Linked DNA regions of Tamandua tetradactyla. The protein of the gene in region 1 purifies or fractionates together with the protein of each later gene. This does not show direct contact. Links are inferred from orthologs where the notes say so. Each region holds a gene or a part of one and is shown on either strand. Other genes may lie near its edges.

What was found. Proteins that work in one complex are often made in the same cells at the same time.
Region 2: the proteins of protein S100-A4 (region 1) and PPFIBP1 purify together in Homo sapiens (co-immunoprecipitation; 3 studies listed by BioGRID and IntAct, with this or other methods). This does not show direct contact. The link is inferred for Tamandua tetradactyla from reciprocal best matches to the Homo sapiens genes S100A4 and PPFIBP1.

What each region holds. Positions count from the first base shown.
Region 1 is NC_135330.1:6,367,878-6,374,750, forward strand, and holds protein S100-A4, read right to left. Parts: upstream 2,730-6,873; 5' UTR 2,667-2,729; intron 1,731-2,666; 5' UTR 1,716-1,730; coding exon 1,575-1,715; intron 816-1,574; coding exon 651-815; 3' UTR 518-650; downstream 1-517. UniProt on the Homo sapiens protein: Calcium-binding protein that plays a role in various cellular processes including motility, angiogenesis, cell differentiation, apoptosis, and autophagy.
Region 2 is NC_135333.1:90,538,772-90,545,976, reverse strand, and holds the start of PPFIBP1 (liprin-beta-1), read right to left. Parts: upstream 3,005-7,205; 5' UTR 2,786-3,004; intron 1-2,785. UniProt on the Homo sapiens protein: May regulate the disassembly of focal adhesions. Did not bind receptor-like tyrosine phosphatases type 2A.

The DNA.
Region 1 (6,873 bases):
GGATAGGAAAGGATGAATCTGTCCCTGTGGGTCCTGATTGCAAATGTCAGGATTGCGGGCCAGCCCTCCTCCCCGCCCCCTGTGGCCCCGGGCTCTCACACCCACACACCCGGCCTGCTACATCCCCCCTTCCCTCCCCATGACTCCTTCCTTCCATCTCACTCCCTGGCAACCCAAGCCCATTCCAGACCCCAACCAGGAGCAGATGTGACCTTCCATCCCATCTGGGCCTCAGTTAGAGGTCCTGCCACAGGCAAGATTGGAGAGGGGTGGGTGGGGTGAGCTGGCTGGCTGTGATCCCCTGGTCTCCGGTGGTCCCTTTCCCTGCTCCTAGCGCCATCCAAAGCCAGCTCTGTCCTCCCCGGCCCCTTCCCCATGCACATATCCTGGTCAGCTCCCCTCCACTAGTCTGCTCCCCAAAAATCTGCAGCTGAGCTGCCTCTCCATGAGCCTGCGCCTTCCCCGGACGTATCCCCCGGCCCCTACCCCGCACACCAAGTCTCTCAGACCAGCAGCCTTAAAGCTTTCAAGACTCTTTATTGGAGTTGCTCAGCATCACACACGAGTCTGGAGGAGCCAGGGGAAGGCACCGCCCCCACGGCCCCCAGCCAAGGCCCGGCCAAGCCCCCGCAGCCGCAGCTCGGGGTCACTCATTTCTTCCGGGGCTGCTTGTCGGGGAAGCCCTCAAAGAAGTCGTTGCACATCATGGCGATGCAGGACAGGAAGACGCTGTACTCCTGGAAGTCCACCTCATTGTCCCTGTTGTTGTCCAAGTTGCTCATCAGCTTCTGGAAGGCGGCCTCGTCCGTCCTTTTCTGGAGAGAGAGGAGGCGACAGGTGAGGAGGCGACAGGTCAAGCGCCATAGCCTAGGGAGTGAAGCCCAGACGAGAACCGAGTGCCCCCCCAGATCTGGGCTCGAGAAGGTGCTTGGCCACTCCTTGGGAAGCCCAGGCTTTAGGACCTTCCACCTTCAGGGCGAAGCTAGTGCAGGAGGAGGCTGTCCCTTGGGTGAGAAGGACTCTGCTGAATACCTACCTGGATGCTGTCAACTGAAAAGGCGGGACATCTTTTCCCAAGGCTGTTTTAAGACTCCATTTAGGTAATGGCCATAAAACAGCACACAAGGGACGGTTTGACATGGATGAGAGCTGCTTTATTGCTTGAGGGGAGATCTGTAGGCGTATGCCAGCCTCCATAGCTACATCGGCACATTCACAAGCCAAATAGAAGCTCAAAATTTTTCCATTGCTAGAGTGGCAGCAAGAGTCCTGGTGCAGCTCTCGGTTGCATGCATGGACCACTTTGCAAAGTTACTTAGCCTCCCTGAGCGTCAGCTTTCCCTTCAGCTAAGTTACATAATAAGTACAAAGCACCTGGCTGCACGTCCAGCTGGTAACTCACCCTCCATCAGCCTGCGCCGGGGACCCGTGCATGCTGGGCACCGGCTGTCTTTCTCTGAAGGCAGCCAGGGCAAGCTCTCTGCCCCCTCCTTCCCCCTTCCAGTGAGAGATACCACCTGTAGCAAAGACTAGCACCTTCCAGGGCCTCGCCCCTCTTCTGGGCACCTACTTACCCCCAAGAAGCTGGGCAGCTCCCTGGTCAGCAGCTCCTTTAGCTCTGACTTATTGAGCTTAAACTTGTCACCCTCCTTGCCTGAGTACTTGTGGAAGGTGGACACCATCACATCCAGGGCTTTTTCCAGGGGGTACGCCATGGCAGCAATCAGGATCTGGGGGTGGGGGGGTTCACAGAGGCACCCTTATCTACCCTACGTGCCAGCTAAGCATCCACAGCCCCCAACCCACTCCCCACCCCTCATGGAGCATTTGATGAGACTCTGGTCCTGCCGTGGGGGGAGCCTACAGAGGCGGGGCTCAGCTCCTGGTGGCGTCAGGGGCTGTATAGAGTGGGAGATGCAAGCTCCAGGCAGCAAACATTGGCAGGGTCCACTGCACAGGCTCTGGAGATTCAAGCCGCCAGCACCCTGGGCCTCACTCAGGTCGTGTCTCAACCACAGTGTTGTTTCCACCCCTTACAGACCCCCCCACTCCCCCAGCCGGGCAGCGGCTCCACCCTGAGCCATTCTTCTTGCTTCCAGGCTGGGTGTGGCTGCTGGAGCCCAGCCCAGGGGCCTGGAGCGGAAAAAACCAGCTGCCGGGCCTAGGGAGGGGCAGGGTGAGGTGGCAGAGGCAGGCATGGGAGGGGAGGGGAGAAGAGGAGGGGGGAGAAGAGAGAAGGAAAAAGAAGGGAAGAAAGACTAGAGGAGGGGAGGGGAAGCCGGGCTCTCCCGGGCTGGGCTGCTCCGTGCAGGGCAGAGGCTCCTGGGACACTGCCGGACAGAAGCCCACAGTGCCTTCTGCCTCCATCTGCCTCCCACTGCTGGGCGTACGCACATGGCCATATGCAACCCAGCAAGCACAAGCCATGGGTCACACACATGCCACAGCACACCCCAACAACACTGCCTGCAGCCCCCGCCTTTCAGTACACCTGCACACTTTCTGTTTCTCTCTCTTGCACACACACATCCCACCCCAGAGCCTCCACATCTGAATTGCACATCTGGATCCATTTAGCACATCTGGTCCCCACCAACCTCCCTTTCTCCTGCCCCGGAGCCTGGGTCAGACACCCCTTGCATGCCAGCCAAGCAGCCACAACTCACCAGGACAAGTGAGAGGAAGCGCCAAAGAGAGAGGGCTGGGGACAGAAGAGTGGGGAAAGCCCAGCGGTCTGACCTATTTATACCCGGGGCCAAGCCCTGCCCATGGCAGGGGATGGGGGAAAGCGGGAGACTGGCCTCCTGCTGTGGGCCCATGTTTGCCACAGCCCCCTCGACCATCCTGCCCAGGAAACCAAGCTTCCTGCCCCCGGGCAGGCCCAGGTGGACAGTGGGTGGGCACCAGTGAGCCTGGGCAGACACCTCCGCTGGGTGGGCATGCCCAGCGCACAGAGCTCAACCTGGGGTTCCTGGAGCTAGAGGAGGGGGCGGTGTGTGAATGGAATGTGGGGGTCAGGGAGTAGGAGGGCCTGGGAAAAGGGGTTCAGGGGTGGTGGGGGAAGGATGGCAAATGCCCCTGACAGTATGGGGCTTGGTGGGGAGCCCCAGGCTCAATCAGCCCTTCCCCTCCCCAAAGGGCACCTGCCATGGTGATGGGGTCGGGGAACAGGGGGCACTCAGGACGGGGAACTGGCTGACACCCAAAGCAGGCTCAGGACGCCCCAGAATGTCTGTCAACAAAGGACCTGGGTGAGGTGGCATGCAGTGGTGGAGGGGGACGGGGCTCAGAGATGGGGTGAAGAAACAAGGGTGGGGTGGTTAGGGACAGGGGTGGGAGTGGGGGTGGCTGGCGTAGGGGTGCGTGTCAGGAATTCAGAAGCCAGGTTGGGGCAGGAGTCAGGGGTGAAATGGTCCCATAGGGACAAGTCAGGGATGAGGGTTAAGTTTCCAGGGAGGGGCTTGAGCTCAAGGATGGGGGTTTTGGGCTGATGGGCTGAGCTGATGAGGCGGGGGCGGGGGCATTGAGGCTCAGGGTGGGGGAGGACCCCAGGGATAGAGTGAAGCTCGGAAGTGGGGGTCTGGGCCCTCGGTAACTATGACCTCAGGAATGGGGTCTGCCCCAAGGTCTCCCCTACCCCTTCCAACACAGGGCACCCCTCCTTGGTTGGGTGCAGACACTTCAGACATCCTAAACCCATGAATCCTGTTTTCAGGGCTCCCTCAGCCCTGGGCTGGGCATACACCCCCCCCACCCCGCCCCACGGCCCCACCCGCCTCAGAGCATCCTGTCACGAGGGCTGGGCTGGGTCGAGCTCAGCTCTTCTGTCCCCGCTGAACCACTGGCTGCCCCGCCTGGAGGGCACTCCACCCTCAGGGGCCCCAGAGAGAGGCCCTGTGGCCCCTCCCCCAGGATGGGAGTCACTGCGTGGGACCCCACCCCTTTTGCCGGGCTGCTGAGACCAGGTCATTTCCTCCGGGTCTGAAACGGCCCTGGGGTGCGTGGGCTGCTCGGGGGCCCCTCAGCTGCCCGCTTCCCCCCAAAGGCCCGGGTAGGGCAGAGCCTCAGCCAGCGGCCGCCCCAAGACCCGGCCTGTCCTCTCAGCAGAACCAAACCAGCCACGCTGACACCAGCTCTTTATTAGGAGTTAAACTGCCTTTTGGGTGCTCGGTCTCACTGGGCCCCCGGGTGCTGGGTCTCACTGGGGTCTCGGGTGCTGGGTCTCACTGGGGTCTCGGGTGCTCGGTCTCACTGGGCCCCCGGGTGCTCGGTCTCACTGGGCCCCCGGGTGCTCGGTCTCACTGGGACCTCGGGTGCTCGGTCTCACTGGGGTCTCGGGTGCTTGGTCTCACTGGGCCCCCGGGTGCTCGGTCTCACTGGGGTCTCGGGTGCTCGGTCTCACTGGGGTCTCGGGTGCTCGGTCTCACTGGGCCCCCGGGTGCTCGGTCTCACTGGGCCCCCGGGTGCTCGGTCTCACTGGGCCCCCGGGTGCTCGGTCTCACTGGGCCCCCGGGTGCTCGGTCTCACTGGGCCCCTGGGTGCTCGGCCTCACTGGGGCCACGCTCTGCCGGGTCTTCACTTCCCCCCAGCAGCCCCGCGTCCCGCCCCCGGGCCCGGCATCGCAGCAGGGAGGCAGAAGAGGGGGCGCAGAGGGGCCCGCGGCTGCTGTATCCCTCACTGCGGCGCAGCCTATGATATGGGGCGGCATATCGGGGTGGACCTGGCAGATCCCTCATTAAAAAGAGTATAGGTGGGTGCTGGGGCGGCTCAGGGTAGAATTCCCGCCTGCCATGTGGGAGACCCCGGTTCGATTCCCAGCCCAGGCACACACACACCCCCAAAAAGAGGAAAAAAAGAGAGATTTAGGAAGGAGGGCAGAGGGGCATGTGGGAGACTGTTGGTGACCTGCCCCGGACCACGCGGGGCAGAGGCGGGGCAAGTCCGGACCTCCCGGCCCCCTGGGCGCAGGCTACTGGGCACAGGCAGTCTCCGGGGCGCAGGGAGCCTCCGGGGCACAGTTCTCCAAGCCACGTGGCAGTAGAGACAGAGGCAGGCAAGTGCGCGCATGTATTCCGCAAAGTCCACCTGGCAGTCCTTGTTGGTGTCCAGAAGGCTCATGAATTTATTGTAGTCACACTCCCGAAGCTCAGTCTGTGCGACGGGAGGTGGGGGAGGGGTGAGGAGCGGGGGGGAGGGGTGAGGAGCTGGGGGAGGGGGACTGGCCCTCTTCTGTCCCTCCCCTCCGAGGAAGCCCCTCTCCTCCCAATCCACACTGCTTCGGAGGGCCAACCTCAGCCAGCCGGTTCCAGTTGCATACCTATTTCAACCCTGCCCACCCACTCCAAATCTTCCTTCTCAGATCATTTATTGAGCACCAACTGTTTGCTACTGAGCGCCTATTATATGCCAGGCATTCTTCACGGTGTTTGCACTCAACCCTCCCAATGCAGCAGGTGGGACTGTCGTCACTTCGTTTTACAGGGGAGAAAACTGAGGCACCTGCTTGCCAGGTGGGTCCCTTCCTAGCCTCCCTTCTCACTTTCCTTTGTTCGTGGGTGGCCCAGACTCTGCAGACTCGAAGGAGAGGCACATCCGGGTACTCACTGGCCTCCAAGTGGGCAGCTCCCTCTGCAGCAGCAATTTGAGCTCAGTCTGGCAAAGCGTGGGCCTGTCGTCTGCGGTGACATATCTTCGATAGACTTCCAGGATGGTGTCCAGTGCCTGTTCCAGGGGACAGGTCATTCTCTCTGCAACAGAGCAAGAGGGCGACTCATGGTGGGGTCCCAGGCCAGCGTCCCTGCTCACCTCTGCCCTCTGTGCTCCCAGGCCTCTCTCAGTCTCTGTCAGGTGTGGGGCCCCAGAAGCTACCCTAGCTCTGAGAAGCCCTCTTAGGCCCCACCAGCTCCTCTTAACTCATCTCATTACTGCCTCCCCACCCCCACCCCTTGTGATTTTTCTCAACAAAGATCTTATTTCCCCAACATCACTGCATGTCCCTCAAGGAAAGAGGGTGTCTCCCACCCCACCACTTGCACCCCTGCGGGTTCCTGATGAATCCCACCTTTTCTCAGCCCCCAGCACCCAGGAAGGTGGCAATCCCACTCTGTGCCACTCTCTGAGATGCAGCCCCCTTCAGGACCCCAGAGCTCCTTCTTGTAAGAATTTGCACAGAGACCCTCACCCAGGGCTGACTTGTCCTCAGGCGTTTGGAGAAGCTGGACATAGCAGGTGGGGCTGGGGGGTGGGGGGAGGCCTGGAGGGACGTCCCAACACCCTCCCCTACAATCCCTCCTCCCCAAACTCAAGGAAAATCCTCCAGGCTCGCCTCTGCCCCTCTCTAGCCTGGTGTGTGAAATGTGGTTAGTTCCGCCTTTCAGGTCCAGCCGGGGATCCGGGCCAGATGGTCTCCGGAGGCCCTGCTGGCTCCAGTGCTGACCCCACCCTGATGGCCCCACCCTGAGGCCACCCCCGACCTGGGGGTTCTTGAGATAGAAGATTCTTTGTAGAAGTGCCCTGTTCTGTTAGAGGCCAAGAAGCGCTGCCTGGAGTTGCCCACCTCCCCCCAACCCCAATTTCACCATCCCCTCCCCCCACCCTTCTGGGCCGATGCCCTGCCAGGGGAACCCTAAGGCAGCCAGGCAGGAGAGTTGTTTCCATGTGAGCCTGTGACTCACCACCGCCTCCCCCAGGGACAGGGACGGGAGCCCTGCACCGCAGAGCAGCAGGGGCCAGGCTCTCTCCCTACTGAGTCCCTTCTGCAGACCCCATGGAGCAAATGGCCTCACGGTCATGACTGGTGGGGGGCTGGGGGGGGCAGCTAACTGTCTGTGATAGCCTAGACTTGGGGCAGGGTATCCAGGTGCCCAGAGGAGG
Region 2 (7,205 bases), on another chromosome or scaffold:
GTTGATTTTTTTTCTTTTTAATTTTAGGACCAATGACTTTCTAGGGACATCTCAGTAATTTTTTTTTAATAATTATTATGCACTTCCTCTTGCTTATGTTTTCACCTTATAGCAGCATTTCCATAATGAAGAATCAGGACACAGATCCAAGCAAGAATAGGATATTCATTCATTAACTGTTTTGAAAAGGTAACTCAAACCAGGCCAGAAACTGCAATAATATTTTTGAAAAGATAGAATGCTCAACAAGGTCTTCTCTCAGTTAACAGCTGGAAAATCAAGCTGTTTAGGATGTAGATAATAATTTTTTAAACCGGAGATGAAAACCTCAGTTATTTTTAATGTAACAAATTATTAACATAATGTAAATTAACTAGAAAAATACAAATATTTTATGAATATGAAAGCTAGTCAGTAACTGAGGGGGAGAAAATGACCTTGCTCTATGCACTGCTACAGTAGTGACAAAAGATTATGTAAACAAACTAACTCCCTCAATGAACTTGTTTCCAAAGACTGTCTATGATGCCCTTGTAATTAAACACTACTGACTTGAAACTACAGTGTATCCTGAGATTTCAAGCCAACATTTGTCCCTAAGGGCCAGGTTATCCTAATTATTAAAACAGCTACTGCAATTATAATAGTTGCTGGTCAAAGAGAATTTAACCAAAGCCTGGTCACATTGTTCTCTTTCAAGTTTTGTTCTTTGAAAGTACCATGTTTTATTATACCACATCTGCCTCATAAACACAGAGTAAGAGAAATATTGGTTCAAATTAATTACATAAACTTAATGTTATTACTCAAACTGAATGAAATTTAAAGCTTTGATATATTGTTTCTTAGGGTAGAACTAGCTTCTTGGAAAGAAAGTATCAATCAGAATTTGGCCCAGCTACATAACCTTCTGAAAGCAGTCTTCAGTTGACTGGTTTTTGCAGCTCCATTCCTCAGTTAGACCGACTAGCATTTGAACACTCCATCAGCCAAGGTTCCAGTGAGCTCACATTTGCCCACAGGAATTCCACATCACCTCATTTTCTTTCCTACTGAAAAAGTACACTGGAAAATACAATATGTTTTAGTACTTCCTATAGTACATAAATAGAAAAGACTTGCTCTGTATTACTTCAGAATCATTAGCAATTTCTGTTCATTAGCCCAAAAACACAACCCAAAATTGAAATGTGCTCACTGTTCCACGAAGCACCTTCCCTTTTCAAAAAGCCTGCTCTTTATCCACTTTACGCTATTTATTGTTTTCAGGAATGAAAAGCAGTAACAATAACTAATAACAAGACCCACATGTTTTATAAACAATAGCGAAACAAGATCACTTTTTTTTAGTTCTGAAATCTAATTGTCATCTGGCTAGAAAGATGAAGAACCCCACCCATAAAGTCCCCTATCTGCACTCTTCCTGACTTAGGTTTATTAGACACAACGTTGGAGCTTCTTTCTTTCCACATCTCCTAGAACTGCCCTTTCCTTCAGGCGTCTGGGATATAGCTTTTGCCTCACAATGAAGTCCATGCCCATTCCTACTGACCTGGCGACTGGGGGATCACCACTATCTAAGCAATTGCAGGGAAAGAAAGGGAAAACCCAACTCAAGAGTCTCAGTCCATACTGGTTTTTTTCTTCTCCAAAATAAAGAACCTTAAGCACTGACTAAAGGTTCTCAATCAATTTATGTACAAACACACACACACACCACCAAAAAAGTCAATCACACCCATTCAGTGCCCTGGACACACAAATCTGCAAGTAGGAAAAAGGAAAAAAAAGGTTTGAAACAGGAAATAAGCAATCAATTAAAAATCAGAATTCTAGTCTTTCACTTCTCAAAATAATCCTTTTCCCCCAGACAGGCAACTGCTCTCCCTAAATACCAAACTTGGACTTTTAAATCAAAAGAATTTTAAATCAAGTTCTTTTTCTATTGCCATTTGCAGTTCTTGTTGAAAGGAAGGACTTGTTCTGGTCCCACAAGTTGGAAAGTTCATGTTCCTATAATTAAGAGTTTGTATGCCACGCCTTCCACCACATTTCCCTGTTAAAATTCCCTTCTCTAAAAATGCTCCCTGAAAACACAACTACAGCCCTCATTCTTTTCTCAAGCAACCACAGGAAACAGATCTGAAGATTCTCAGCAGCTTTCTTAACCCCTCCAGATCACAAAGTTGGCAACTGAAAGGGATTCTCTGTTAAAATGTAAGCACGAATTAAAAAAAAAAAATTGTAAGCGTGAATAAGATCTGAAGAATTGGTGTTTTAGAGGTGTAACCCCCCCCAAGAAACCAGTTTTTCCCACAAACTCATAATACACCCCAAATAAATTTCTCACATCCTGCCTGGAATATATAAAGGGATGGTTTAACGCTGATATTCTTTTATTTATATTGGTATATAAAAGGCCATGGGCGAACTGAAAATACACACACAAAAAAAAGTGTTTTTTTTTTCTCTCAAAGACCATAATATTTGAATCACTGATCCATAAACACTTCTCTGATTGGGGTTTTCAAATACTATTGGGAGACCAGGGTGTGGGGAACACAGAGGAGACCTTACATGTCCAATCCTGTGGTATTTTTCACATATAGGCTAGTTCGAAGCCACCACCACCCCGGCCCCCCAAAGTGCCCGTTACCATTGGGAAACAGGAGAGTTGGAAAAGGAAATTCAGCCTGGGAAGAGGAGGGGCAGCTGCAACACCCAGCTGCAACCACACAACGGTGCCACTTTCCTCCCGTCCCCAAGTGGAGCAAAACACCCTTACCTAGAGGGGTGGTGAGCCGCCGGCACTACTTCCAAAAGTTGTGGTTCACCTTCCCTCGGAGTTCAAAGTCCCAGCACTCCGTCCCCGGCGCAGGCTCGCCCTACACAACTCCTCTGCCGTCGCGCTCCAGCCTTTCCCCACCCTCTCTCCCCTGCACCATGTCAGGAATCCGGGCCAGCACCGCGCTGGGAGCTGACATCACTCCCAGTTCCAGGTACCTCCCCCTCCCACTGTCGCCTTCTCTCCTCCCTCCCTCCAAGAATTAGCCAAAGAGAGTTAGCAAGGGCGGGGTGGTGGCAGCGCCTGGGCTCCGGCTGATTGGACCCAGGGAAAGTCACTCAGGGGAGTCAACTTATTTTATACATTCCTTGCTGAGCGAGACTTCGGCTGGAAGTGGGTGTTGATGGAAAAAAAATGCTGCCTTCCCTGCTATCTCTAAAGAATGGAGATAATGATACAAGGAAGCCCTTGCAGATCGAGTTTTAAACTTTCTTGGCATATTTACTATATGCCAGATCAGAAACGAAACTAAGCCCCCTTGTTAAGGGGAAAAAAAAAATGCCTCTGTCACGGGCAAGTACGATTCCAGCGGCGCGTGGTGCAGAAAATGGCTTGCTTTACTCATGCAAATAAAGGAAAACGCCAGCTCTTCATTCTCCCCTTTTATCTTGGGACTGGTGGGTGTTCCCTTAGAATGAGAACGTGGAACTTCAAAAGCCTTTGGAAAGATTTGAAAGTGAATCCTAGAAACGGCGACTCAGCTCTGAATTGTTCACTGGTGGCGGCGTTATCAACCATGTGGCTGCTTTTCTTTCAGCAATAAAATCACACCACACAAGCTTCCAAGCAAATAAAATTGAACCTCTGGGGTAAGAAAAAAATTACTACCTACCTTTTTAGGGACTCTACTGCTGTTTTAATGCCTAACTGAGAGGGGGCAGGAGGGATGGGAATGGGGACACAATTCATTTCAACAAATCACATGAGAATAATTACACTTCAATAGAACCTATTGGAGTAGCTGAACTATCAATTAAGAATTAGCTGACATTGATCTTTGACGGATATCATGCTGTATAATCCCCTTGGCTTATAAACAAAAAGATTCCCAGGAGAGGGTTCTTTCAATTTACATAATAGCTGCTTCAAGGCAGAACTGAATGGTGAAAAGTGGCTTTATCTGTAAGGTAGCATACTATCTACCTATCATTTTGAAGTACAATGAATTACTTTTTGGTGCTATTTATTTTTTTAATTGATGACAACACACCATATATTTCACCATTCTGCCAAAAAAAAATTGTAGAGGGACAAAAGCGTTGGCAATGTGTATTATTTAACCCTTATAATCATCCTTGTTACCTCCATATTAACAAGGAATCAAAGGCTCAGACAGGTTACCTAACTAAATTGCCCCTGTTCACCCAGAACTGGAATGGAAACAATGTCTGCTTGTCTCCAAAGGCATTTTTTCTTTTTATATCTAAAGTATTGATTATCTATACCTCTCAGACACCACATACTAAAAAAAAATCTACAGACCCAGGCCACTGCTGTCACAGACCTTATTTTACATTATTACCATCATGTTTTCTGTTCAGACTTACACTATCCCAAACTCCTAACCTACATTTCTTACTCCACTTTTCCCCATCACTAATTCTTTATATGCACCGCTACCAGGTGAGTCTTCTAAAACAATGTTTGGTTTTGTCATCAACATCCTCCCCTCCAAATCTGGTCCCCCTTTCCCTGCGACTCTTTTCTAGCCATTTAAAACTCTCCCTAATTTGGTATCTATTTACCTTTCCCATTTTATTTCCCACTTTACTCTGAGAAACCCTCTGCTGCAGACTAATAAGGTCTACTCAGTTCCATGCTTGGTTCTCACCTTTTGGCCTAACTGAATACCCACTCTTCCATGTAGTTAGTCCCACCTTTCCCTCAAAGCCCAGCTCAAGTCCTTGTCCTCCACCATGCCCTGGCTGTGTACTACAGTAGACAGAAATAGGGTTTTGGGTCCATCTCCCAGCTCTGCCTCTTAGATCCTGTGTGGCCTTGGACAAGTCACTAAACCATTCTGAATCTCTATAAAAATGGGGCTGATGATACTACAAAGGTTATGGTAAGCATTATTGAGATTGTACAGATGTGTAATACATGGTAATATATGTCTCATTATACCCATTTCATGTCTTCCCATATCCTGAACAGCAAGCTCTGTGCTTAATAACCTCTTTCTATTCCTTATGCCCATTTCGTGGAAAAGGCCAAATACTAAAGTGGGCTACAGATAATGGATCCTTATATCACTTCTAACTAGCCTGGATTCCTTAAATGCTCCCTGTCCTCACTCAAATACTCTCTTAGTCATAAACTTCAACTATCTTCTCTTTCTTTTTATGCTTCCACTAGAACCCTTCCCTTCCCCCAGCCTCTCACCATTCATTCAATGTAACTTCCTCAGATAATCTTCTGGACCAACCACCCATTTAACCTGTCCCTTAGAGTCACTCATAATTCCTCTTCCCTCACTCTCTGGGACACACTAGTCTATCAGTGCCTCTCGTCTGCCTTGCTCCCCAAATCCCTTCAAATAGCTGCTGGGTTGCTACCAAGCATTCCTCCAGCCCCAGTCTTAGGATGGCTGCATCTCACTCACAGCTCACATTCTCCAGAAACTACAACCAGCAGCAAGAGATGAGGGAGGGACTGTCCCACCCCCAAAAGGATGGCAGGATAGAATAACAGGAAGTCGCCTCCCATTCCCTCTGCAGCTGGAGTGATAACAGCTGCCATCGGAGTTTAAAACACAAAAGACTTGAGGAAAGCTGAAAACAGGGAAGTCTAGAGCAGTAGTGCTCAAATCAGGGGTTACGTGGTAGGGGTGAAAAAGGAACCAATGGGTGAGATTTCAAGCTCCCTTCCCCTTCTCCCTTTAATCAGAGTTAAAGTAGCTTGGCTCCTACCTGTTTTACATCCAGCCTTTCCCTGTCATGTTTCATTTTAAAAAGTGGTTCTAACACTTAAAAAAAAGTATATTAAACCACTGGCCTCTGGGTCTCTTGAGGAAACTCCAAGGGATCAGGACACTGTAGCAGAAGCAAGACAGGATACCTGATGGGCAGCTGAAAAGTTAGCAAAAGTACACTGCAAAAGCAGGAGAAAACCTGCACAGAATAACAAAGGCAGAACTTGAAATGGGCCCTAAAGGTCATCTTGACCTTTTGGAGTGAGAACCCCTGCTATAGTATTCCTGACAGGGTGCCTTCTAATCCCTGCTTGAATTTATCTGACAGCAAGGAGCACACAAGCTAGGAAAGCAGCTCATCATTAAAGATCTTTCTCATGGCCAGCTGGAAACTGCTTTTCTGACTTTTTCCCCAAAGGCTCCAGTTCTGCCCTCTGGAAGAAGAGAGAAAAAGTTGGCTCCTTTTGTAACTTCATCCCCAACTTGTGTAAGCATGAAAACACAGTCCCTACTTAGTTTGTTTAGATGCTCACCCAACTCGTCAAGTTCATGTCATTTTACTGTCTATCTTTACAGGCTTCTGGGTGCATGCTTCTTAAGTACAGCCCAGATCACTCAACTCCTTTCAAAACACTTAACTGCCTCCCTCTTCCCAGAGAACAAAGCCTAAATTCTGGACTTGCATCCAGAATTTCCATCCCCATCCTCAACTTACATTTCTAAACTCAAAGTCCACACTTCCTCATACTCATACTACATAGCCATATTCTCTGATACTGTCTTCTCAGTTAAAGAATGACTTTTGCCTATTGCTTAGTGAGTTCAGAGTTTCTGTTTGAGGTGATGAAAAAGTTGGAATAATGATTACTGGTGATGTCAGCACAATATCATGAATGTAATTAGCACTACTGAATTTAGCACTCAGAAGTGGTTAAAATGGGAAATTTTGAGCTGTACATGTTCCTACAATAAAAAGTTTTAAAAAATGTTTGACTGTTGCCCTTTTCTTCACATCTTTATGCCCTATCTTCAAGGCCTAGTTCAAAGACACTTTTACCACAAGACTTCCCTGAACCCTTAACTGGAAGTAATAGCTCCCTCTCCTAAAACATAAATGACTTATTACAGTTCAAGGCAGATATGGGGAGTGAGAGTGTGGGCTTTAAAGAAGGTCAGGCCTGGTTTTGAAATCAGGCTGCAAGATCTCAAACCACTTTTTGAGTCTATTTCCTCATGCTGAATGTGAAGATGAATACTAAAAACCACCTCACAGGGTTGCTTGAGGATCTGATGAGGTATCAGACACAAGGTCTCAGGTTAAATTGTCTGACACATAATAGGTCATCAGTAAACAGATGTTCCTTTTTTTATGGCATAAAACAACTGTACTCTTATTTTGTGGGGGGCGGGGGGGGAATGCATGGTCCGGGAATTGAACCCGGGTCTCCC